2 linked regions of the Schizosaccharomyces pombe genome follow. The protein of the gene in region 2 interacts with the protein of the main gene of each other region in a pairwise test. Each region holds a gene or a part of one and is shown on either strand. Other genes may lie near its edges.

Evidence for each region.
Region 1: the proteins of cao1 (region 2) and atx1 interact in a two-hybrid assay, tested with the Schizosaccharomyces pombe proteins (one study listed by BioGRID).

The regions. Positions count from the first base shown.
Region 1 is NC_003423.3:1,114,524-1,125,901, forward strand, and holds atx1 (Cu chaperone Atx1), read right to left. Parts: upstream 5,799-11,378; 5' UTR 5,659-5,798; coding exon 5,583-5,658; exon of another isoform or gene 5,465-5,582; intron 5,460-5,464; coding exon 5,329-5,459; 3' UTR 4,864-5,328; downstream 1-4,863. Other genes in the region: mRNA processing protein Cft1, read left to right, coding at 1-3,141; translation termination factor Rrf1, read left to right, coding at 4,038-4,772; chromatin modification family protein Png2, read right to left, coding at 6,422-7,215, 7,263-7,334, 7,375-7,426; GTPase-binding protein Rid1, read left to right, coding at 8,305-8,723, 8,862-9,009, 9,078-9,610, 9,660-9,762; ribosomal lysine methyltransferase Set10, read right to left, coding at 9,921-11,378. UniProt on the Schizosaccharomyces pombe protein: Shuttles copper to the transport ATPase ccc2. Protects against oxygen toxicity.
Region 2 is NC_003424.3:2,927,014-2,940,799, forward strand, and holds cao1 (Cu(2+) amine oxidase Cao1), read left to right. Parts: upstream 1-4,758; 5' UTR 4,759-5,783; coding exon 5,784-7,922; 3' UTR 7,923-8,102; downstream 8,103-13,786. Other genes in the region: Tf2-3 (retrotransposable element/transposon Tf2-type), read right to left, coding at 191-4,192; cbm1 (cellulose-binding domain-containing protein), read right to left, coding at 8,497-9,090. UniProt on the Schizosaccharomyces pombe protein: Copper amine oxidase involved in the metabolism of xenobiotic and biogenic amines. Capable of catalyzing the oxidative deamination of primary amines such as ethylamine as alternate sources of nitrogen to support growth.

The sequences.
Region 1 (11,378 bases), on a different chromosome or scaffold from region 2:
CAAGCTTTGGATTTAGAAATTAATGATGACTTTCTTAAATCAGGAATCACTTGTGCAGTGCCTGCTGGCGAAAATCTTGTTTTCTTAGGTAGCCAGACTACTGACAGTTATTTGCTTCGTTGGTCTCGGCGTACTACTAATGAGGAGGTAAGATTGGATGAAGGAGACGATACTCTTTATGGAACGAACGATGCTGAAATGGATGATATGCTTGATATTTATGAAACAGATGAATCCGTGGGTTCTAAAAGGAAGATTGCTTATGAAAACGGCCCGCTACGTCTAGAAATATGTGATGTATTGACAAATATTGGTCCAATTACTGACTTTGCCGTTGGAAAGGCAGGATCGTACTCCTATTTCCCTCAAGACAACCATGGACCTCTGGAATTGGTAGGTACAGCAGGAGCTGACGGTGCTGGCGGTCTTGTTGTTTTTCGGCGAAACATATTTCCATTAATAGCCGGTGAATTTCAATTTGACGGCTGTGAAGCACTATGGACCGTTAGTATTTCAGGAAAGCTACGAAATATGAAAAGCAGAATACAAGCTCAATACTCAAATCCCGAGTTAGAAACTTATCTTGTACTTTCTAAAGAGAAGGAGTCGTTTATATTTTTGGCAGGTGAAACCTTTGATGAGGTACAGCATTCTGACTTTTCTAAGGACTCGAAGACACTTAATGTCGGCTCTTTGCTTTCCGGTATGCGTATGGTTCAGATATGTCCTACTAGCCTGCGTGTATACGACTCAAATTTACGTCTTACTCAACTTTTTAATTTTAGCAAAAAACAAATAGTCGTCTCAACAAGCATTTGTGATCCTTGTATAATCGTTGTCTTTTTGGGTGGTGGAATCGCTCTTTACAAAATGGATTTAAAATCCCAAAGGCTGATCAAAACGGATTTACAAAATAGACTTTCGGATGTTAAGACAGCTTCTTTAGTTTCCCCTGATAGTTCTGCACTTTTTGCAAAGCTTTTTACCTATAACGAAACCCTTAACGCCAAGGGTCAAATAGCCAATGGAATGAATGATTCAGCTTCTGAGACAGATTTGGATATTCAACCTAACCATAAAACAAGTAATAATGATCAAATGGGGTATGATCAGTCAGTAAGTGCTGATGATGTTCCTGAGGTTGACAACACCATCGTCACTGAAAAAAATGTTAGTAATTTAGATCAGGAGTCTCTGGAAAAACATCCAATATTATTTGCTTTGACTGATGAAGGTAAATTAAAAGTTTACAACTTGGCAGATTTTTCCCTTTTAATGGAGTGCGATGTTTTCGATTTACCACCTACATTATTTAATGGGATGGAATCAGAGAGGACCTATTTTAACAAAGAATCCAGTCAAGAACTTGTTGAATTACTTGTAGCAGATTTAGGTGATGATTTCAAGGAGCCACATTTATTTCTCAGGTCAAGACTAAACGAGATTACAGTCTACAAAGCATTCTTATATTCTAACACTGATAAGCATAAAAATTTGTTAGCTTTTGCTAAAGTACCACAAGAAACAATGACAAGGGAATTCCAAGCAAATGTTGGGACTCCCAGAGATGCAGAATCTACAATGGAGAAAAAGGCTTCAAGCTCTGTTGATCATTTAAAAATGACAGCTTTAGAAGTAGTAGGCAATCACTCCGCAGTTTTTGTAACTGGGCGGAAACCCTTTTTAATTTTGAGTACTCTTCACTCAAATGCCAAGTTCTTTCCTATATCCTCCAACATACCAATTTTATCTGTTGCACCTTTTCATGCACACCATGCGCCACAGGGTTATATATATGTAGATGAAAACTCATTTATTCGCATTTGCAAATTTCAAGAAGATTTTGAATACGACAATAAATGGCCTTACAAGAAAGTTTCTTTAGGAAAACAAATCAATGGAATAGCCTATCATCCTACAAAAATGGTTTATGCTGTTGGAAGTGCCGTACCGATTGAGTTTAAAGTAACTGACGAGGATGGAAACGAGCCTTATGCGATTACTGATGACAATGATTATCTTCCAATGGCCAACACCGGTTCGCTTGACCTTGTTTCCCCCTTAACGTGGACTGTTATAGATAGTTATGAATTTCAACAATTTGAGATTCCCTTATCGGTTGCTTTGGTTAACCTTGAAGTTTCTGAAACAACTAAACTGAGGAAGCCATATATCGCTGTAGGGACCTCTATCACCAAAGGTGAAGATATTGCTGTTCGCGGATCTACATATTTATTTGAAATTATTGATGTCGTGCCTCAACCCGGGCGACCAGAAACTCGTCATAAATTGAAATTAGTGACTAGAGAGGAAATTAAGGGTACAGTCGCGGTGGTATGCGAAGTTGATGGGTATTTGTTGAGTGGTCAAGGCCAAAAAGTAATTGTACGTGCTTTGGAAGACGAAGACCATTTGGTTGGCGTTTCTTTTATTGACCTTGGGAGTTATACATTGTCTGCTAAATGTTTGCGAAATTTGTTATTGTTTGGCGATGTCCGACAAAACGTAACGTTTGTCGGTTTTGCCGAAGAGCCATACAGAATGACTTTATTTTCTAAAGGTCAAGAAGCGCTCAACGTATCTGCTGCAGATTTTCTTGTGCAAGGTGAGAATTTATACTTTGTAGTGGCCGATACATCTGGAAACTTAAGATTACTTGCATATGATCCTGAAAATCCCGAATCTCATTCTGGTGAAAGACTTGTAACACGTGGAGATTTCCATATAGGAAATGTAATTACTGCTATGACGATATTGCCAAAAGAAAAAAAGCATCAAAATGCCGAGTATGGTTATGATACGGGAGATGACTTCTCTTGTGTAATGGTAAATAGTGATGGTGGACTTCAAATGCTGGTTCCGATTTCTGATCGGGTGTATCGTCGTTTGAACATTATCCAGAACTACCTTGCCAACCGTGTTAATACGATAGGCGGCCTAAATCCCAAGTCCTATCGTCTCATCACCTCCCCATCCAACTTGACTAATCCAACTCGACGAATTCTCGATGGTATGCTCATCGATTACTTTACATATATGTCAGTTGCTCATCGACATGAGATGGCTCATAAATGTGGTGTTCCAGTATCCACTATTATGAATGATCTGGTAGAGTTGGATGAAGCTTTAAGTTATATGTAATTGGGCGTAGTTATTTAAAAATTTTTTTTGCATATTTTTGAAACTAAAGGATACCATGATCTATAGCAGGATGCACTTAACAAAAACAACATAAATGATGGCAAAAGTAATAATGCAAATATTGTAAAAGGATGCTTTCATTATTAGTGTTTGAAGCTCATTTTCTCGCGAAGATTGACGTACCATATGATTTGGTAAAAGAGTAATTTACTTAACATTAGTATAAAAGCATCCTATACTTTGTATATACATGTTTGTTGACAAGGATATGATGAGTACAAGGTATGTTAACCACTGATCATTTTTACAGGCTAGGATCCTTATATATAAATACCAAATTCATATACGGTCAACGGCTTGGGAATTTTCAATTTCATTCAACCTGTGAATAGGTTAGCAAACGCTTTTATGCATTTCATTACCTATTATTATTCCTCTATGTGTTTATCTCCCAGGATAGCAATATGCGATAATTCTGACAATTATCGTGTATATACAAACAAAATTGTTAACTTGTATAAATGATCAAAATTATTAATAAAATAGATCAATTGAACATACGTGCATCATTTAATTAAGCTAGGTTATTTCATCGAAATTATTATACTATACAATATTTTATTTACATAAGACATCAATAAGTATTACAGTAAACGCACCTACATAATATTATATATGGATAGCATGAAAAATCAACGTAGTAATTTGGTATTCATAAAAAGACCTTAACATACCGTGTAGCTAATAACACAGTGCAATGTATTGTCCTGTATATTTCAATACCTTCATCTCCGTTATTCAAATACGCATAAGGTAAATCTGCATCACGTAGTAAATTGGTGAAAAGAATCAGTTAGTCATTGCTTTTCTCATATCCATCAGTCTCTCTTTTTTTAATGTTTCGGATTATTAGCAAAGCAACGTTGTTTCAAGATTCACAACGGTTCCACACTTCTATACTGTCGCCCAGATGTGCATTTCATAATGGTGGAATTTTGCATAAAAAAGCTAAGGATAAAGATGTTAAGCATGATCACGATCCAGAATTTGCTAATTCATTTAATAAAATGTTGAAAAGCTTTGAAGCAAAAATGCAATTGGTTCACGAAAAGTTGGCTAAACGATTTCAAGAGGCAGTTGTTTTACCGAGTCAAGGAAATTTCACTCAACTAGAAGCACTTTTCATACCATCCAAAAGCATAAAAGCTCCTACTCCTAGTCGTCTGCTTCGAGAAATTGCAGCTGTTAGTCAGAAAGGTTCTCAGCAAATTATTATTCGTCCATTTGAAGACGTTGACATAAAAAACATCCTAAAAGCAATTGAAGATAGCAGATACCCGTTTGTAGCTAATAAGCTGAATGCATCAACAATTGAGGTGAAGCCACAACGAACCACTTTAGAAAGTCGGCAGCAGTTGGCCAAAGTATTAGAAGGATACGCAAAAGATAGTCGAGAACAGCTGTCTGCAATGCGAACTGAATTAAAAAAAGAGATTGCAAAAAATAAGAAAAGTAAAGCTTGGACGTCCGATGATTGTTATAAAGCAGAAGCGGAAATGCAAACAGCTTTTAAAAATGCCATCAATTTGCTTGATAGCGGTTTGAAATCAGCTTTGAAAAAGGTAATATAATCTCAATTACGCCAGATTTAATATCTCTTTGTGATGTATATTCATTTCATAGTAATTTTATAAACACGACTACATTATGTTTTCGATATACCGAACAAAATTGTTGAGTAAACTCAATTAGAGGTAGCTAAAATGAATGTGAATCTATTATTTACCGAGAAAACAGTTATTGCCTGAATTGGAGGTGCCTATGTAATGTATAAAATAAAATAAAAAAAATAAGTGAAAACTCCTAAGTCAAAAAATAGCAACAAAATGACTGAAAGTGCAGTCTGATAATAAACAATGATCACAATAAATATTACAAACGGCATGTAAAGCGGGGTTCAACTTACCAAGACAATTGAAATGAACCGGAAAACGTCTATAAGTTTATCACAATTTATTGGAGGAAAATAACACCAAAGGCTCAAGCAGTACGCTGTATCCTACAAAACAAATAGCCTCGTCTAGTCGTATATATAAATCTTAACAATAAGGCGACAACAAAAAAGTCAAGAGCATATTTTTGAGAGAACCGATCAGATATGATTAAAGTCGTAATTTTTGCCATGCTCTACTCTAGGACTTTACCGCTGCGAACTTCCTTTCCAGTTTTTTTAATCGTTTGTTCTACGAGCTCATATGGTTTGTCTGTGGTAACGATAACCTCTTGTTTTTCGACCGAAATGGATTTGTCTTCAACACCTACTCGACATTACTTAATTAGTACACAGATTCATCAACAAAATTCCTGAAAAACCATATATAACAAATACTTATATAAATGTAAATCTAAATACTTAAAAAATGACTTTTTTTAAAACGCACCCAGACGAGTTAAAACGCGATCGATGGCATTTTTGCAGCCATCACAAGCCATAGCAACGTTAAATTGGTACTTCATTATCAGATGATCAAAAATTCAACGAGATTTGGACAAGAAACTGTTAATTAACTTTTTTGTAACACAAATAAAAACAGTATTTAAAATTCAAGAAAATCCCAATTTTAAGAATTACTTTAGATGAGAAGGAGGGAAACGATAAGTTGGAAAATCCATTAGTAAAAGCATTTAGACGTAATGCAAGGAGGTATCCTTAAAAAAATAACGAGAGAGATATATTTGCTATAGATGTGTGTCAGTAATAATGCACTAAGCTATGATACACTATGTTGTGTATCACTATTTGTCATTACTTTGAATACTATTTAAATTCGCTTTTGAAACATGCATGAAGGAATTTCCATTTATTAACAAGTATGTAAGCTAACAAAACAAATTCAAAGAAAAAATTTAATAAAGTTTGCGCCTAAAATTGCTTCCTTACTTCAATGACTAGTTACTAACAAATTTCTAATAAAAATAATTATAATATTACTTACTCATACATATTGCATCCGCTTTTTGTAGATTGCAAACAAAACACACCGTAGTTTTACATATCATTAAATAGTATACCGAGATACGTAGCTGATGGTTGTATCCTTTAACGAAACCATAAAAATCGTTATAAGGGTTTTATGAGGTATAGAAATGTTGTCGTTAGTTTAATTGATTCAGTAAACAAGAGCAATGCAAGCAGTGGTAATGGATGTTTCATAACGATGTCAAACACTGAGAAATTAACAATAAAAAGAAGGTGAAAGAAAATAAAAAGGATCCCGGCTCATTGACGACTTTCAGATGATTTTGCTAACTCTTCACATTCTTTACAATACCAGATCCCCTTCGGTGGTTCTACTAGACCAACGCAAGGTAAATGGAACCATTCTCTTTTACAATTTTCGTTATCACATCCAATCATTTGTCCATAGGAAACTTGTTGACAGTAACAGTAAAGTTGCTCACCTTCACGGCTGATATCACTTGAATCTAATGTGTCGTGTTTGACAAGTGGTTCCCCATTTGTCTGTTTTAAACGAGATTCTGATCTCCGCACTGGTCGCCTCTCCGTAGATTGCGGCGCATGCTTTGTACTCGATAATGGAGGTGATGATGATTTTCTAGGAACAGCATTTTTTCGACGCTTTGTAGGGGTGTGATAAGAAGATTGCGGCGATGAAGCGTCTTCAAAGTTGTTATATGAAGACGACCGTTCCTGAGAGGAATATTGCTGGGAATGCTGGTTATTTTGATGCCGACGGGTTTCCCGTCTCCTTTCAGAAGTTTGAGGAGTCACAGTAGAATGATAATTCATTAAAGCTCGATCGTCTGGATATCCCAATCTCAATTGTTGGGGAATCTCCAATTCAACATATTCAAACCCAGCATCCAAACGGTCGATACAACTCTTGATATTATTCATTGCGTCTGTGGCCAAACAAATCTTTGAATCAGAATATGGAAGTATCTCTTTTAGTGTCTTTTGTAATCGCTCACATCTTTCTTCTCCTGACAATTCGTCATTTTTCTCGTTTTTTAGAACCACACCAATTTCCTGTATGACATTTTGACGGATATCTAAGATTTTGTTAACCACACGTTTTAAAAATATATATTTCACTTACCTCGTACTTGTGCATCGATCTCTTTCAAACTCGTGAATTTTCCACATACTGATTCAGGGACTGAAACAATGGCTGTAAAATGTTAATCAATGTGTTTATTTTCGCCTCTTACCATCTGTGAAATCATTTAAAGCTGCAAATATTTCAATTCCACTCGTCCCCATGATATTGACACTAAGCACGTTACGTTGTGCTGAGTAGGAAATGTATGTCCCACCTACTTCTCTCACTTTACTACATCCCTACGTGAAATAGCAAAATTGTATGTTTAATCTATTGATAGAAAGAAGTGATTCTATTATAAGCGACGCGTTTTAATGTACCAGAATTCTAGTATAATTTCAGCACTGCTTTGAACTGTAATTTTTAACGACATTATGTTAGTTCAGGTAATATGAGCCTTCTTGTTTAACCATACATTTCCAAATAATCAATTTATTTTAGATATCGGTTCTACTACTCAGTTAGTTGCACCTTCATTATAATAGCAAATTTTGGATGTCCGAAATATTTTTCCTTTTCACAACCTTCAGTGAATTCCAGATAATTGAGAAGTACATATTAAAATTCTTACCCAAAATAGACCGAGATTTACTATATCTTAAAGCTCAATACATTCTTATTTTTCCATTCTTCTCATTTGACTTACATACGATAGTGTATATACCAATATCAAACATTAACTCAACACGCGTAATCTCAAAATTTTGCAAGTTGGATTTACTATGTATAGCTATTAATGAAAATAATGATAGGCGTAAATAGTATGGTTTATTAAATAACGGAAGCTTTCTCTTTTTTTTTTTCGAACATTCATGTGCTATTTTCCTTCCCTAAGTCTAGGGCCATAGCTTAGTATTGTACATATTAAAAATTGGAACAACCGTTCCGCGTATTAGCCTAATTATTGAATTAATTCCCGATATTGTCCGTTTCATGTTCCTGTGGCTTGTTCCTCGGACGCGTCAGCGTGCCATTTTAATATATACCAGCCCTCCCATTTCTATGTAAATATACCACACGACTATTCCTTACACACATTATGAATTCTCTACGTTCAGTAAAACGGCTTTTAGGTGCTCGCTCTTTGAGCTCTGATGGGCTCTCTGAAAGCGTTAATTCTTCTGATCGAGAGGATAGCTTGAGCTTTCAGACTCCTTCAACCCCTTCTGAAGATGAAATGCCACAATGTTTTGAAGATTTAATCAAGCCTCAAGTTCTTTCTTCAGAGGCCTCAAAGAGTTTACTTTCCCTTAATGAAGGAATTAAAATGGAAATCGTGTCCAGTTTACAGCAAAAAGACCAGAAAAAGCGAAATAAATTAATTGCTTGGATGCGTAAAAAACCATGTTACGAGCAACCTGACGACTTTATTTCGTATATTGTAAATACAAAAATTGACTCAATCGATGAATCTATCATACACAAATTAGCTCTACTTCTCAGAAACGAGCAAGTAATGTATGTTTACATTTTGTGCAGCTACGTGAATCAAAGTGGTGATGCTTAAATTATCTTTTTTTTTGGCACTACTATTGTTTTGATTGAATGATAAATCATTCGTTTATTTTGAGGTTTTTCATACTAACTGCAATACAGATGGGTAGAGAAGTTTATACACAACGGCGGTTTCGGTGTAGTATTTTGTACAATCGACAAAATCTCTCGCCTTGAATGGAGAGAGGAACTGCACGATTCTATACTGGAGCAACTTTTACTTTGCGTTAAAGCCATGTGCACTGTTCAGGTATGCATGTGATATACATTTAGACCTATGTCTTCATTGCCTTTGACAATTGCTAACGTTTTTCCTAGCGCGGATTGGAATGTTTATCTCAATCCACTTATAATGTCGAGCGATTGATTTCCCTTTTGCTTTCAAAGAAACAGCCATGTGATTTTGTCGTAAGGGAAGTACTCGTTCAAATAGTTCACTCCTTTTACAAAGCTCATCTCGACAAAGAAGAAGGTGCAATGCAAGTTTTTTCCTTGTTTTCTATTAAAGACGATAAGGATGAAGAGGTTGAATTCTTAAAAAACGTTCGAGTTGATCGACCTTTTCGCCGTTGGATTATCGAACTTGAAGATGTTAGCCGTAATGTCTTCTGGGTGTGGAACCACGATTCTAATGTCATTGATTTGGAGAAACAATATAATCAAGTGTACGAGGCTCCATTGGGGTTTATTGGTGGTATAGAAACCGAAGCCACCAGCTATGTTGCAGCTCACATCCATCTTATTAATGAATTACTCGAAGGCTTACCTTTAGAGAAACGTCAAAGAAAACGTTTGGAACTCCAGCTAAGTGGATTAGAAAGAATCATGGGGTTACGGTTTCGAAAGAGCAGGTAAGCAATTTTTTTCAATATTTATATAAGCAGGCACTTACAAATCTAGTCAAAAATTCCATAAGAAGCTACATGAAGCCCTTCGTGAATGGATAGTGGCTGCTAAAATTGATGATTGGCCATACAAACTTGTGCAAACTGGATCAACCTAACTTTACCCTAATTTTCTATGCACTACAATCATCCTATGTATATAAAAGACACTAAACACCTTAATCATTTATCAAAATACGTCTTGTCATCTACTTTACCTAACCCAATATTGGAATACTCATCGTACATTATATATTAATCGCTTAATTTTTATTTATCAATTATGGGCAATAATAAAGGTAAATCCAGAAAAGTCGAGACTTTCGTCATTTACCAATTGCAATGCCCAAGAAACATTTTCTTTATTAAAATGCTTGGATTCCCCAAATACGTTTGTAAATTGTTGAAAAAACATTTCATCCAAGATTTCAAAGACTTCAACACCTTCTGGATTAGCAACGGCTGGATACCCTTCCACAAGCATACTAATTGAGAAAGGTAATTTTTCAGAAATAGATAAACAATATACACAAATCAATATCATTAAAATATCCTGCTCATCTGTAGCGACCAATGCTTCAGCATCGGTTGAACCATAGAGACTCTCAATGGCATGCGAAAGTGGTGCAAACAAAGGATGTTGCAAGAGGAAAATAGATATCGAATTAAGGATGAGATATTGCAAAAGGTTTGGAAGAGGTTTGTAAGTTTTTTGGAGTGATTCTTCCATATAATTTTTGACATAAGTGATGGAGTCTTGAAGAATATTAATCTGACTATCGCGATAAATTTTGGCCCAAACCTGCCTTTCAGAGGTCGGAGATACTTGCGGATTTGATTTTAACAAAAGGTCAGCTCTAGAGTCGATGTACATAAGTAAAACTTCCAAGGACTTAATCTGGCCTCGTAAAGAAGGGACATAAGAAGCTAGATCACCCGTCAACAAATGCGCTGTCAATTTTCGAAGTTCAAGAGAAGAGGCAGTTACAACTGCTAAACATTGAAGAATCTTTTGAAAAATTTCCTTATCTGGGGACTTTGGCAAAAAAAATACTAAATTGCTCAACTGAAATTGGCAATCATTCTCAAGAATGGCAGCTTTTTGATCTTTATGCGGTAAATCTGGATGAATAGCTACTTTTAAAGTCACTGTATCAAATGGGTTATCAGGTAAGCAAAACCCATAGCCCATTAGTAACTCTTCGTTGCCCTTTGGACCGTAATTATTAAACAGCTGGTTGCCTTTTGCAACCAACTCTTGGGAAATTAATTGAACAGATTTTTCATCTTGAAAATCACTATTCCACAAAATTGGCTGCTTTGGTTTATGATTCAGACTGTCAATGAGAGGAAGAAGAATGGGAGTAGACTCTGAATCCTTATATATTAGATTGGATGAAAAACATCTAGATGAGAAAACAGTGGCAGACCATATATACAAATCGAAGGTAAATCTTTCTGTAGGAGATGGGTGCAAACTTAATGCTTCTTGATACTCATGCTTCCAGATATGCAAACGCTCCTGAGCAGCAGAGTACGCATTTGTGGATATCAAAAAGGCGTTATCATTTTCGTTAAAATAAAGAGGGGTGTTGAATGTTTTAGGTAGATACTCAATGTACCCGTACCACTTACTTTGTATACCCTTCAAGCTCTCCAATGCTAAAAATGTACAAAGTGTTATATGAGGATTGCAACTCTCAAAATTTGGATTCAATTTTTTTAATTCCTCTTT
Region 2 (13,786 bases):
CAGATAATATTGATCTTAATAGATTATCATTAAGATCAATCTCCATATCGTATCATACATGGTACGATATATAATTAGAACATGTGACATATAGTGATACTCAACGTAGTGTATTATAGCGTAGTGTAGTATTGCTGACATTGCCCTCCCCAAGATTTTCTATGTAAATCTGAGGATAAGTCATATGTTCTCAGATATTTAGATTATTGTTTTTAATATAATCATTGACAATTGCTTTGTCCGCTTGTAGCGCTGTAGCTAATGTAGTCCATCCTGACATAATAGTACTCGGATTTAGATTCGAAATGTACTTGACATTTAAGTAGAGTACTTGTTCTCTGTTTTTATGTTCTAGGATATGAAGAATTGTTCCAATATCAGACTCATCAATGGTAGCGTAATTGAGTTCTGAATTATGTCGATACTTTTCTAGGTGAGAAACATGAAAAGTAGATGAAAACATGTGCTTGATTGAATCTGGAAGATCCAATTCATAGTTGTTTGGACCCGACTTCTGTAACACATAGAACGGTCCTGCAAAACTAGGTGCTAATTTATTGGATTTATGAAGAAAACCTGTTTTCGTTCTTTTGACCATAACTAGGTCTCCAGGTTGAAATTCTTCAATTTCTTGTATTTTCATATCGAAATACTTTTTCATCTTTATGTTGTTTGTATTCAAGTGTTCTTTAACTGTTTGAAATACTTGGATCGTTTCCTGAGAGTTTTCGTCAGTTTTGTCACTAAAGCTAGGTAACTCTAAAGGTGATAAAGCTGGTGAATAGCGATGTACTATCTCAAAAGGTGTCATTTGAGTTGCTGAATGTATCGCATTGTTGTAAGATTGTTGCACTAGGGATATATGATCTACCCATGTATTTGGATGTGTGCTACATACACATCTTAGTAATTTCTCCACAGTTTGGTTTGTACGCTCAGTTTGTCCATCAGTTTGTGGTCTGTATGGTAACGAAAATTTCATAACGAAATTATATTTATGTGCGAAATCTTTCCACGTTTGGGAAGTAAAAATATGATCATTATCTGCAATGATTTCTTTTGGATTGCCGAAATAAGCAATAACTCGTTGATCAAACATTCGAGCTGTTTGCTCTGCTGTAATGGATTTCGTACAAGGTACTAAGATTGCCATTTTTGAAAATCGGTCAACTACCACGAAAAGTGCATTATAACCAGATGATTCTGGTAAAGCTGTAATAAAATCCATTGATAAAGATTCCCAAGGTCTTTCTGATGGGGGAATTGGTTGTAAAGGTCCATAAGGTTTATGATTCCTAGATTTGTTTATTTGACATGTATGGCAGTTCTGTACATATTCTTGTATTTGTTTTCTTATTCCTTTCCACGTAAATCTACGTAATATAATGTTTGTAAGAAGTTCAATGCCTGGATGAATCAATTTACCTTCTTCATGATACTTTTTAATAATTGTCCTAGTCAGCTGAGTATCATTAGGTAATAAGATTTGGTCTTTACTGTTAATTAGTAAGCCATCTTTGAGTTGGATATTCTCTTCCACTCGTTTGTCTTCATTGTTTAGTAAATTCAACAATTTTGTATCATTCGTATATTCTGTAACCACTTGGTTTTTAAAATCATCGGTTATCGAGATTTGATTAACAAAGTTGATACTATTGTCTTCTGAATCTTTTGGAATTGGTTCTGTTTCGTCAACAATTCTGGATAAGGCATCAGCTATGTGATTTGCTGATCCAGGTCTGTAGTTAATTTCAAAGTTGAAGTCTTGTAAAAATAATTGCCAACGAGCTAAACGTTTGTTTTCAGGCTCGGATTCGTTAGTAATGCGACCAATTAAGTTTCGATGGTCTGTTAAAATTTTGAAAGGTTCGATAGTGGATTCTAAATAGTGTCTCCAATGTTTGAGAGACTTAATGATTGCAAGCATTTCTTTGTCCGATACGCTATAATTTAATTGTGCTTTAGACATCTTTGCTGAATAGTATCCAACAGGATAGTATTTATCATCATCATGTTTTTGAGACAATACGGCTCCTACAGCGACATCTGAAGCATCAGTTTCCAGTAGAATCTTTTTACTGAAATCAAAGTGTCGTAGCACCGGAGGAGAAACTAAACATTGTTTAATGTTTTCTATCGCTTGGGTTTGTGTTGGTGTCCATTTCCAGCGTACATCCTTTTTCAAAAGATTATTGAGTGGATGTGTTAATTGTGATGTCTTTGGAATGAATTTCCTAAGATAATTGACAGAACCTAGAAATTGTCGTAATTCTTTACGATTCTTAGGTTGCTTCCATTGTAAGACTTTGTCTATATTTTCTTGACAAGGCGTAAATCCTTTTTCCGAAATGTGATACCCTATAAATTTTACTTGTGATTGGTGAAATTCACATTTTGCTTGATTGATAATTAAGTTCGCATTTTTCAATTTCTGTAGAACGTCTTTAACATGTTTTACATGTTCAGATTCCGATTTTGAATGAATTAAAATATCATCCATATAACATACTACATGTGATTCTTTGGCTTCACCAAGTATTGTATTGATAAAGTATTGAAAATGTGCTGGAGCTGTAGATATGCCATAAGGCATTACTAGATATTCAAAAACTCCACGAGGACAGCGAAAAGCAAGTTTATGTTCATCTCCTTTTCTTACTCGTATCAAGTGATAGGCACTTTTGAGGTCAAGTTTAGTAAAAATTGTAGAACCTTGTATTTTAGCAAGTAATTGTTCAATAAGTGGTAACGGATATATATTGGGTTTGACATACTTATTTAAAGGTTTGTAGTCAACCACCATTCTCAAGGTGCCTTCCTTTTTCGGAACGAACATTACTGGACAGGCGTTAATGGCTTTAGATTCTCGTATAATTCCACTTTTTAATCCTTGATTAATTTCATCATTCATAGCTTGCATTTTTCCCGGTGGTAGCGGGTAATTTCTGATAGGTAATCTGTAGTTTTCTTGAGTTAGTTCAACTTCAAATTCTAACCCTTTTATTGGCTTTGGTAGCTTTTCCGTATTGGTTTCTGCAGTAATGTCTTTGAATTCTTTATAGATATCTGGTAACTCAGGTTCCTTGACAATATTTGAAACTTTGTTCATTTGAGAGAGCGTGTGTTTACTGCTAGATATTTCAATGTTATTGTCATATAATGTTGTGAAGGAGATAGCAGCTGGATGCGAAAATTTCTTTACAACCAAGAATTCTGTTTTGATTGATATTCCATTTAGACTTATGTTAAGTTTTATTGTTTTGCGATTAATCTTATTTGGATAAACTCCACCATATATCACACTTTTTGACCAGGGTCTGGTAGGCAGTTTATGTGCTCGAACAGTTTCTTCTGTTATAATATTTGCTTGAGCGCCCGTATCGATTAGACAGGGTATTGAGCACTTGAAGTCTGGAAGTTCAGCTTGTAATACCATTTCGTAACGTTTCCTAGTATGATTTAGGAATTTGTTAGATGAGTATTCTATTCTCGAAACATTTGTCTTCCTCAGGTTTCTGCTATTAGTGGTGTTATTTTTCTTTGAAAGGGACTCTTTTCCTAGATTTTTATTTTGCGGTTGAAAACGCTTGTGAGTTTTACCATACGAGGCTGTTCTTTTGTCCTCTAAAAAGTCATAAATTTCACTGATTTCTGATTTCCAGTAATTTCTTTCCTTTAATTTCCTTAAGGAATATGGCAGCATCCATAATATAAACAAGCGAGTATGGAAATCATCAACATTTGCTTTTGACATGAGTTTCCTTATAAATTGAACTTTGTCCAATTGATTTCTAAAACCTTCAAATGTTTTAGTTAAACGATCACCTTTGTTGGATCCTTGTACTTTCCCTGTTTGTCTGAGTAATTCTTGCCATGTAAGACTTCCATTCTCAGAAAACATGCGTTCAGCGAATTGTTGCTCTAATTCTTCTAGGTGATTCAATGTATACTGTCTTTTAGTATGCTCATTTGGGAATAATGAAGGGTATTCAGTAAAGTGTTGATCAAGTTTTGAAATGTAACTTTCAACATCCTTATTTGGATCGAATTTCCCTATCTCTGGTACATGCTTCGATAATATTTTTGCAAAAAGGTTTATTAAATGTTCGTCTGATGTTTGAATTCCATCCAAATTCTCTGGTCTCCATCGTTTTGCTCTTGCTTTCATATAACGATAATTTGCGTAGGACATTGTATATGTTTCCCTTTGGGAGATTTCAAAAGGGATAACAGTCCTTCCAAAGTTCCTTCTCCTTTGAACCCAGAAGGAGAGAAATATATATATTTATGATATATATTTATTCAATAATTCCTTTTTCCTAAAAGGAGTTAATTGTAGATCACAAGAGTTCAGTTATTGTAAGCTACGCAGTTTGGTATCTGATTTAAGGATACGTAGAACTGCGGTGAGTTTTCCTTGTGATCTATTATATTACGATACACAGGTTGTATAAGTAGCAACTGAGTATAGGTATTGTATTAACTGGGTTATAATGTTACCTATCACTAATATAGCTCATAACTGAACTGAGGAACGAGGTTCAGCAGTAGCTCTATTTATAGTATTCAGATAATATTGATCTTAATAGATTATCATTAAGATCAATCTCCATATCGTATCATACATGGTACGATATATAATTAGAACATGTGACATATAGTGATACTCAACGTAGTGTATTATAGCGTAGTGTAGTATTGCTGACAAAACAAAGACAGACGCGTTTCAAAATAAGATGTAAACAATGTTTTGCACTTGCACTTTGCCTAAACTATTTTCAAGGAGAGATTGCTTTAGAAGACTCTTCTGCAAGTCCTGGTATTAATTTCTAATGCGTGTACCTCGTATTTTAGTATCTTAGAATGGTTTAATATACTAATTTGACATTTTTTTTTATCTAAGTTACTAGGAGCCTTATACTGACTGATATTTTCTTATTTAATTCATCAACCAACAAATGACTTGAATGAATACGTTTGCCTCCGTTTTCAATATCGATAGGTCTCATCCCTTCTGTAAGGGGCGTGCACTATAGTGAACAATCCTGTTAAGTAGGATTATCGAACCCGACAGATAAAGTGTATATCGGTGATTAAAAAGCATTATGCCCAATGAGGCTGGAAACCGATTTGTGAACGGCGCAAGCTGGTATCGAGTATTTTCTCTTACATTATAGATAGGGAAGTGTATTAGATGCTGAATAACATCAGGAATTATCTAAGAGACATGCAAGATAAACATGAGAAACCGGCTAATATGGGATATTTACAACGAATCAATGTATCATTGATCCTTAAGGGTTTGATTAATCGGCTAAACGAAGTTATTTGACTGAATAGATAAAGTGTCGAGCATGTTGACATTGAGATCATTGTTATAAATAAAATAGATGGGAACGTCAATTAGTGTTATTGTTTTTCAAATTCAAGCATAAGTTGATTTCTTTGAATCTAGGCTCGTAAAGATTTGTAAAGTCACATACATCCCTCGATCCGATCGAAATCATACTTAACCATATAAACCCTTATTATTGAAAGCGATTTCTGCATATTTGGCTATCACTCTCAGTTTCACAGCCGAAAAAAAGTCTAAGAGATAAGGCGATAATTTGTTAATATTTTAAGTTGCTTTTTTTTTTTTTAATTTCTTCTTTTCTCTAGTTTCGCATCGTGTTGCTTTCTGTCTTGTTTATTTATAATCTTAGTTATCTAAAATTTATATATTTTCATATATATATATATATATATATATACATACGATATCCCTTAGCTAGCTGTTGAATATGGCTTATTATCCTCACCTTCCCTATCATCATCATCACCATACTTCCGTTCCCGGTGAACGCCTTAGCGATCCTTTGGATCCGCTGTCTGCAGACGAGCTAAAACTCGCTGTTGAAATTATCCGTCATGAGTATCCTTCCAAGCACTTCGCGTTCAATGTAGTTACTCTGGAGGAACCCCCGAAAGCGAAGTACTTGCATTGGAAATACTCCAAGGAAGACGCTCACAAGCCCGAGCGAATTGCGTTGGCTGTCCTACTCGAAAAGGGCGTGCCAGGTATTTTGGAAGCGCGGGTCAACTTGACTAAAGCAGAGGTTATTCAAATTGAGCATATTACTGGAGTTTGCCCGATCCTTACAGCTGACATGCTTGTAAATACTGAACAAATTGTACGTAAGGATCCTGCTGTTATTGAGCAATGTATTTTGTCGGGGGTGCCTCCTGATCAAATGGATCATGTTTATTGCGATCCATGGACTATTGGATATGATGAGCGCTATGGAAATACACGACGCATGCAACAAGCTATGATGTACTACCGTTCTAATGAAGACGATTCTCAGTATTCGCACCCCTTGGACTTTTGTCCCATCATCGATACTGAAGATCAGAAAGTCGTTGCTATCGACATCCCACCCGTTCGTCGTCCTCTATCTAAGCACAAGCATTCCAATTTCAATAAGAAGGATATTGAGGCCGAGTTGGGTAAGATGCGTGAAGTGAAACCAATCTCCGTTACCCAGCCTGAGGGCGTCAATTTCCGCATGAAGGGTCGTTACATTGAATGGCAAAACTTCCGTATGCATATTGGATTTAATTATCGCGAAGGTATTGTGTTATCGGATATATCTTATAATGACAATGGCCACATTCGTCCTCTCTTCTATCGTATGTCAATCGCTGAGATGGTGGTTCCTTATGGTAATCCTGAGCACCCTCATCAGCGAAAACACGCCTTTGACTTAGGTGAATACGGTGCTGGTTACTTGACTAATCCCCTTGCTCTTGGATGCGACTGTAAGGGTGTTATTCATTATTTAGATGCTCACTTTGTGAACAATACTGGTGAGGTGGAAACCGTTAAAAATGCTATTTGCATTCATGAAGAGGATGATGGTGTTTTGTTTAAGCATTCCGACTTTCGTGACAAATTCCGTACTACTATTTCTGCACGCGGCATTAGATTGGTAATTTCCCAAATCTTTACTGCTGCTAACTATGAGTATATGGTATACTGGATTTTCCATATGGATGGTGTTATCGAATGCGAGCTTAAGTTAACCGGTATATTGAACACGTATGCTATGAATGAAGGGGAGGATCTAAAAGGTTGGGGTACCCAAGTTTATCCTCAGGTTAATGCACACAACCATCAACATTTGTTTTGTCTCCGTCTTAATCCAATGTTAGATGGATACAGCAATTCGGTTGCTGTTGTAGACGGTGTAAGTGGTCCTGGTGAGCCTGGATCCAAAGAGAATTATTATGGAAATGCTTTCACCACTGAGCGTACGGTACCTAAAACTGTTAAAGAAGCCATCTGTGATTACAATAGTGATACAAGCAGAACGTGGGATATATGTAACCCAAATAAGTTGCACCCATATTCAGGCAAGCCAGTTTCATATAAGCTTGTATCTCGAGAAACTCCACGCTTGATGGCCCGTCCAGGATCTTTGGTATCAAATCGTGCAGGTTTTGCTCGTCACCACATCCATGTTACGCCATACAAAGATGGGCAAATTTATCCTGCCGGTGACTATGTCCCTCAAACATCTGGCGAACCAACTAAAGGTTTGCCTGAATGGATTGCTGAAGAGCCAGACGCTTCGGTTGATAACACGGATATCGTTGTTTGGCACACTTTTGGAATTACTCACTTCCCTGCTCCTGAAGATTTCCCATTGATGCCTGCAGAACCCATTCGTCTTTTATTACGTCCTCGTAATTTCTTCCTTCGCAACCCAGCTCTTGACGTACCCCCTTCGAAGAATGTTACTACCTCTGAGGTGAAGCAGGCACACCATCATGGTAATTTACACATGATGGATATGATGAAGAGTCTAACAGATGCCACTTCTGAATTTGCATTTGGAGAGAAATTTTGCGAAAAACATAAAGGTGATCACTTCTTTTAGAGATTCAGATATTGATTGAATGACCCGAAACCATTTTGGAACGTAGATGTACATATAATGAGAAAGCCATGAATCAGCTTTTTATTGGAATAAGAAGTGATGTTTAGTTTTTGGTTAATCAGTGTATTAAATACTAGCTAACTGTCAAATCCAACAATACATATATCATTATTCCTTAAATTTTCTTCTTAGTATTTATTATTGACGAAGTATTGAATGTGCTTAATCTTTACGAAATTGATTATACTTAAAACGTTTTATTAATATCTTCTACTAAGGCAAGCATAATCTATCCGCATTGAACTTAGTCAAGGATAATGCCTTTCCCAACCGAATTTAAAAATCAATGAGAATAACAAATATTGAAATTTCAATTGATATTGACAATAGTAATTACAGTTGTCTTCTTTTTCTAATATCCATTTTCCTAAAGCCAAAAAAAAAATAAAATAAAATAAAGTTAATTTATTCATATCCATCAAACGCGAAACATAATACACATCGTAAAATTCAATAAAATAGCTCCAAACGATTGGTATGTTGAATCGTTTACAGTTATTCTATGGCTGTCAAATTAATAGCCGGTAACATTCCAGCCAGATGATGGCAAAGCAGAAGTTGTATTGGTACTAGATAGTACAGTGGAAAAACCGCTGCTAGAGAGACTAGTGAAACTGCTTGTCGACACACTGGAAGAAATAGTGCTAGAAATAGAAGGGATTGAGGTAGTGGAGGATACAGCGCTAGGGCTGGATGAAGTCAAAGTAGTAGACGACACAAGGCTGGAGCTGGATGTAGTCGATGTGGTGGAAGAAGCAGCACTAGAGCTAGATGAAGAAGGATCGATATCAACTGGAATACATTGAGAATAATATGGACCATTGTAAATACATTCGGATCCTGGCTCACAGCAAGTTGGGCCATTGTAATTGATGCCGCCGCACTGTTGATATAACTTTGCACAGGGTCCTGTATAATCAACTGGGATACATTGCGAATACCAGGGATTTGAATAGATACAAGAACTACCTACTACACAACACGTGGGGCCATCATAGTAAATACCTCCGCAAGTCCCATATCTGGGTGAACACTGGCTTGCGCTTGTTTTGGAGACCAGAGACAAAGCTAATGTCAATACTGTCAAAAACAAACTTTGAGTAAGCATTTTAAACGAGAAAAACACAATACTAATAGACTCGGAGAGAGTAAATTTCTAAGAAAAGAATAAGTTCAAGGGTTACTTTAAAGTTGCAGAGAGATATGTTTCTATTTCTGAATACCACGACAAAACAGACTTATAGCAACAGTCGATCCTGACAGAGTCGCCTTGCCCATGACTTTTTATACATCACAGAAGTAAGACTTTCACAAACGTAGCAATACTGCAAGGCAGAAATGTAGACGTGATCACATGGTGGGCCACCAGTGTGCGAATGAAAAGACACTAAAACCTTCTAACGTTCCCATAAAACGATCCAATATTCTTTCAAATAAGATCATATTAACCTGCTCTTGCATTTCTAGACCAGGGCTCTCATGTCTAACCGTCAGATCAGGTACCCCTAAGACCGTGACTATTTGATTTTTCGAATCATACAACCTGCCTATTTTATCTTATCAAAAATTATCATACGAAAAGTGACAAGATGGTTAGACATTTGACCATTACGACTAACATCCGAAATCCGCTACAAAATACTACCTGTAAAGGTGGTTGGGATATTCACATCATTCCTCTAAGTATATTGTCTAGGTACTTTCTCAGGGAAAATGGTACATATTTATTGTGTTTGCAAAGCATCATCAACTGACATATTTTGATTTGTGAAAACACAGGGAGTATGTTAGGGGCATGCGGCAATGATTCCTGCAATTGTTATGTTATAGAACTTTGTCAAAATTGTATGGCATAAAGTTCTTTTGAACGAATTAGAATATTTAGGTCATCATCAATGTCAAAACAGCTTTACATCGGCCTTAACCTTCATTTTGCCGCGGTTAAAGAAAGTGAAGAATTGGTATTTTCTTTTATTCTAATCTATTACATTTATCATATATCGTTGATCGAATTGTGCTTTAATATTTTTTTCTTATTTTTATTTATTTTTTCTTATATATATATATGAACATGTTATTTGGGTTTTCTGCCTTTTTTTTTATTTATTTTATTATTTTTTTCTTAGGTCTTTTCCAAGGATCGAAACTTCGGCAGAAGTAGCGCATCATACGGTACTAAAAGTGGGCTGGCACAATCGACATTTTTTCAAAAAATAGCTGCCGATGAACCAATTAACAATTTTTATAGTAAAAATTACAATGCAAGTAGTATATGAAAACCATTAACATTAAGTGAATATTGTAAATTATAAACACATTCAGAATTAGGCTATAAAAAAGTTATAGTGTTCACCAGAACATTACTTCGTTAATATTTATCAAGGGAAAGCACTCTATTATATGATAAATAGATTTCCAGTTATAAGCGATGCAATGCAGTAATTGGGTTTTCCGAGATGCTTTACGTTTCCTTTTAAGACAAATTGAATTCAACATAGGTAGATGCATTCATGTAGGAGTACAGCTAACTCTTGCATTGGTTTTTAAAAAGCATAAAAAAGAAAAAGAAAAAGATATTGCTAATTATTACAATCGCCAAATTCATATAAATGCAAAAAAATAGTGAGTGCGAAAGAAATTCACTAAATAGAAAAAAATATTTTTTTGAGCATAATAAATAAGAGATTGAAATACTTCACTGTGAGTAAATAAGTTCGCAATGTAAATTAGAATTGAAATTATATATCTAATCAAAGACGTTTCATATGGAAGAACAGTGTTGAAAAACACTCAACTTCTTTCTGCTTGTCTAATTTTTTGGTTACGAATTTATCAATTTATTTTTATTTTATTTTTTTAATTTTTAGTAATGATTTTTAAAAGGTGGAAACCCTTGTTTACATTTTAGGATGTGAAAACAATACATAACTTATACTAGCACATCAGAAATTTTGTATCGACCGAGGGTAAAATTTCCTTCTTCTTATTCATTACTCTACAAAGGATTCCTCACTTTCTCTTGAAAGCGATTCACTTTGGATTTTTATACAGCTAGAATAGTATTTCAATTCAACAGCATAATAGATTTTGCGCATCCGAAGGAGCTAGTTGGATTCCAATAACTACCAATTTACAAGAGTAGAAATAACCACATTGAATTTGAGAGAGGCAAACCTGCAATCTATTTGAAAGCACTCTTTGATTTTATCTCAAGTCGAATGTGAAGATTCAATACCCATTGAAAGTTGGCCGTGAAATTCGCTTAAAATTTTCATCGCAGAGAAGAAACAAGGATGATATTGCGATAATGCAAAAGCTAGAAATTTTAGCACATACTAAGAACTTAATTCTTTCTGGTTATTTTTAGATTTCTTTTTTGACTATATTGCGTCCTTAAAATTTTCTAAATCATCTAGATAAGGCGAAAATTAACAATGGTTGCTCATTTTTAGTTCATCGGATAACTAAGGATGCGCAGTTACTTCTAAGCATCAAAGTTTGGGACTTCAAACTGTGATTAAGTGCAGCTAATTGTTATTAGAACATCACAAAACGTTTATTGAAAAAACGTATAGCATAACCGAGAAACACCTGATATAGTCCTAAATTTTTACTTTACCAACATGTGATGAATTCTTTGATTCCGTTCAGCCCAGTTGAAATTTCATTATTCCGTTTAGCCTGTTCCCCGTGCAATGTAGACCTAGTCTACGCCGGTTAGCGTTCCGAATAGATGGGCAAAAAATTTGATACTTCACAAAACACCAATTCCGGATCGACGCTTTTTAAATTGGTGGTAAGGTATCAACTATGGGGAATCGCTTGAATATTGAAAGCACAAGATAAATCTTTGTTTTATTATCTGCCACAATGTTTTCAATTCAAAGCAATTTGATGAGACACTAAGTTTTGTATATACAATTTTAATGATCTTAACAAATTACAGGAAGCGTTTTTTAACTCTAAAATTATGAAACTGAGATGCTTAGTCAGTATAATAAATATGCATCTCCATCGGAGATGCAAGAACAATAATTTGCATATTTGCGCATCAAGCTCTAGATTAAAAAAAAAAAGGGTCAAGATGGAATTATTGGACATTAAGTGGTTTACTAGCTATAGCACAAAATTTGTATAAAATACGATAGCTGACATTTCTGATCTTTCATTGATTTGCGAATCAGTTTTCCAAATCAAAGGTTTCTCGTTTCTATCACAATTTCTTTCACTAAAAATAACAGTGGCTTCAAAAAGTTGACAATATCTCATAAAATGTTATTGAGACTATTCGGTTTATGGATGTATCTGCTTCCTCATTACCCAAAACACAACTCAATTTCAAAAATATTAAAAATTAGAGTTAAATTAAGCCTCGTCTAAGCGAATCTATTTTGTTACTCTGAGCTCCGCATTCAACATTAGACAAATTAACAAAAGGAGGGTTCTATTCTTGTCAAGCGAAGTCCCGTGTTTACTTTGTTTCTTTATTTAGAAAAAAGATTTTTAGAAGGCAAAGCGTTATATTTATATATATTTAATATTTCGCTATTGCTAAAATTGGGGGTTTTCTTTTTTTAAGCAGGGCATCTGTCAAGGTTGTATTTCTAAAAAGCAAACAAATCAGTGCTTTCACTGAAAAGACGAAATTTTTTTTACCTTCGTTCTAATTTTTTTTTCTTAAGCTCTAAGTTGGTTTTACTTTAATATTGTCCACGATTCTTTACGATTCTTAGGTTGCTTCCATTGTAAGACTTTGTCTATATTTTCTTGACAAGGCGTAAATCCTTTTTCCGAAATGTGATACCCTATAAATTTTACTTGTGATTGGTGAAATTCACATTTTGCTTGATTGATAATTAAGTTCGCATTTTTCAATTTCTGTAGAACGTCTTTAACATGTTTTACATGTTCAGATTCCGATTTTGAATGAATTAAAATATCATCCATATAACATACTACATGTGATTCTTTGGCTTCACCAAGTATTGTATTGATAAAGTATTGAAAATGTGCTGGAGCTGTAGATATGCCATAAGGCATTACTAGATATTCAAAAACTCCACGAGGTTCAGCAGTAGCTCTATTTATAGTATTCAGATAATATTGATCTTAATAGATTATCATTAAGATCAATCTCCATATCGTATCATACATGGTACGATATATAATTAGAACATGTGACATATAGTGATACTCAACGTAGTGTATTATAGCGTAGTGTAGTATTGCTGACATTCTCCTTTTCTTACTCGTATCAAGTGATAGGCACTTTTGAGGTCAAGTTTAGTAAAAATTGTAGAACCTTGTATTTTAGCAAGTAATTGTTCAATAAGTGGTAACGGATATATATTGGGTTTGACATACTTATTTAAAGGTTTGTAGTCAACCACCATTCTCAAGGTGCCTTCCTTTTTCGGAACGAACATTACTGGACAGGCGTTAATGGCTTTAGATTCTCGTATAATTCCACTTTTTAATCCTTGATTAATTTCATCATTCATAGCTTGCATTTTTCCCGGTGGTAGCGGGTAATTTCTGATAGGTAATCTGTAGTTTTCTTGAGTTAGTTCAACTTCAAATTCTAACCCTTTTATTGGCTTTGGTAGCTTTTCCGTATTGGTTTCTGCAGTAATGTCTTTGAATTCTTTATAGATATCTGGTAACTCAGGTTCCTTGACAATGTTTGAAACTTTGTTCATTTGAGAGAGCGTGTGTTTACTGCTAGATATTTCAATGTTATTGTCATATAATGTTGTGAAGGAGATAGCAGCTGGATGCGAAAATTTCTTTACAACCAAGAATTC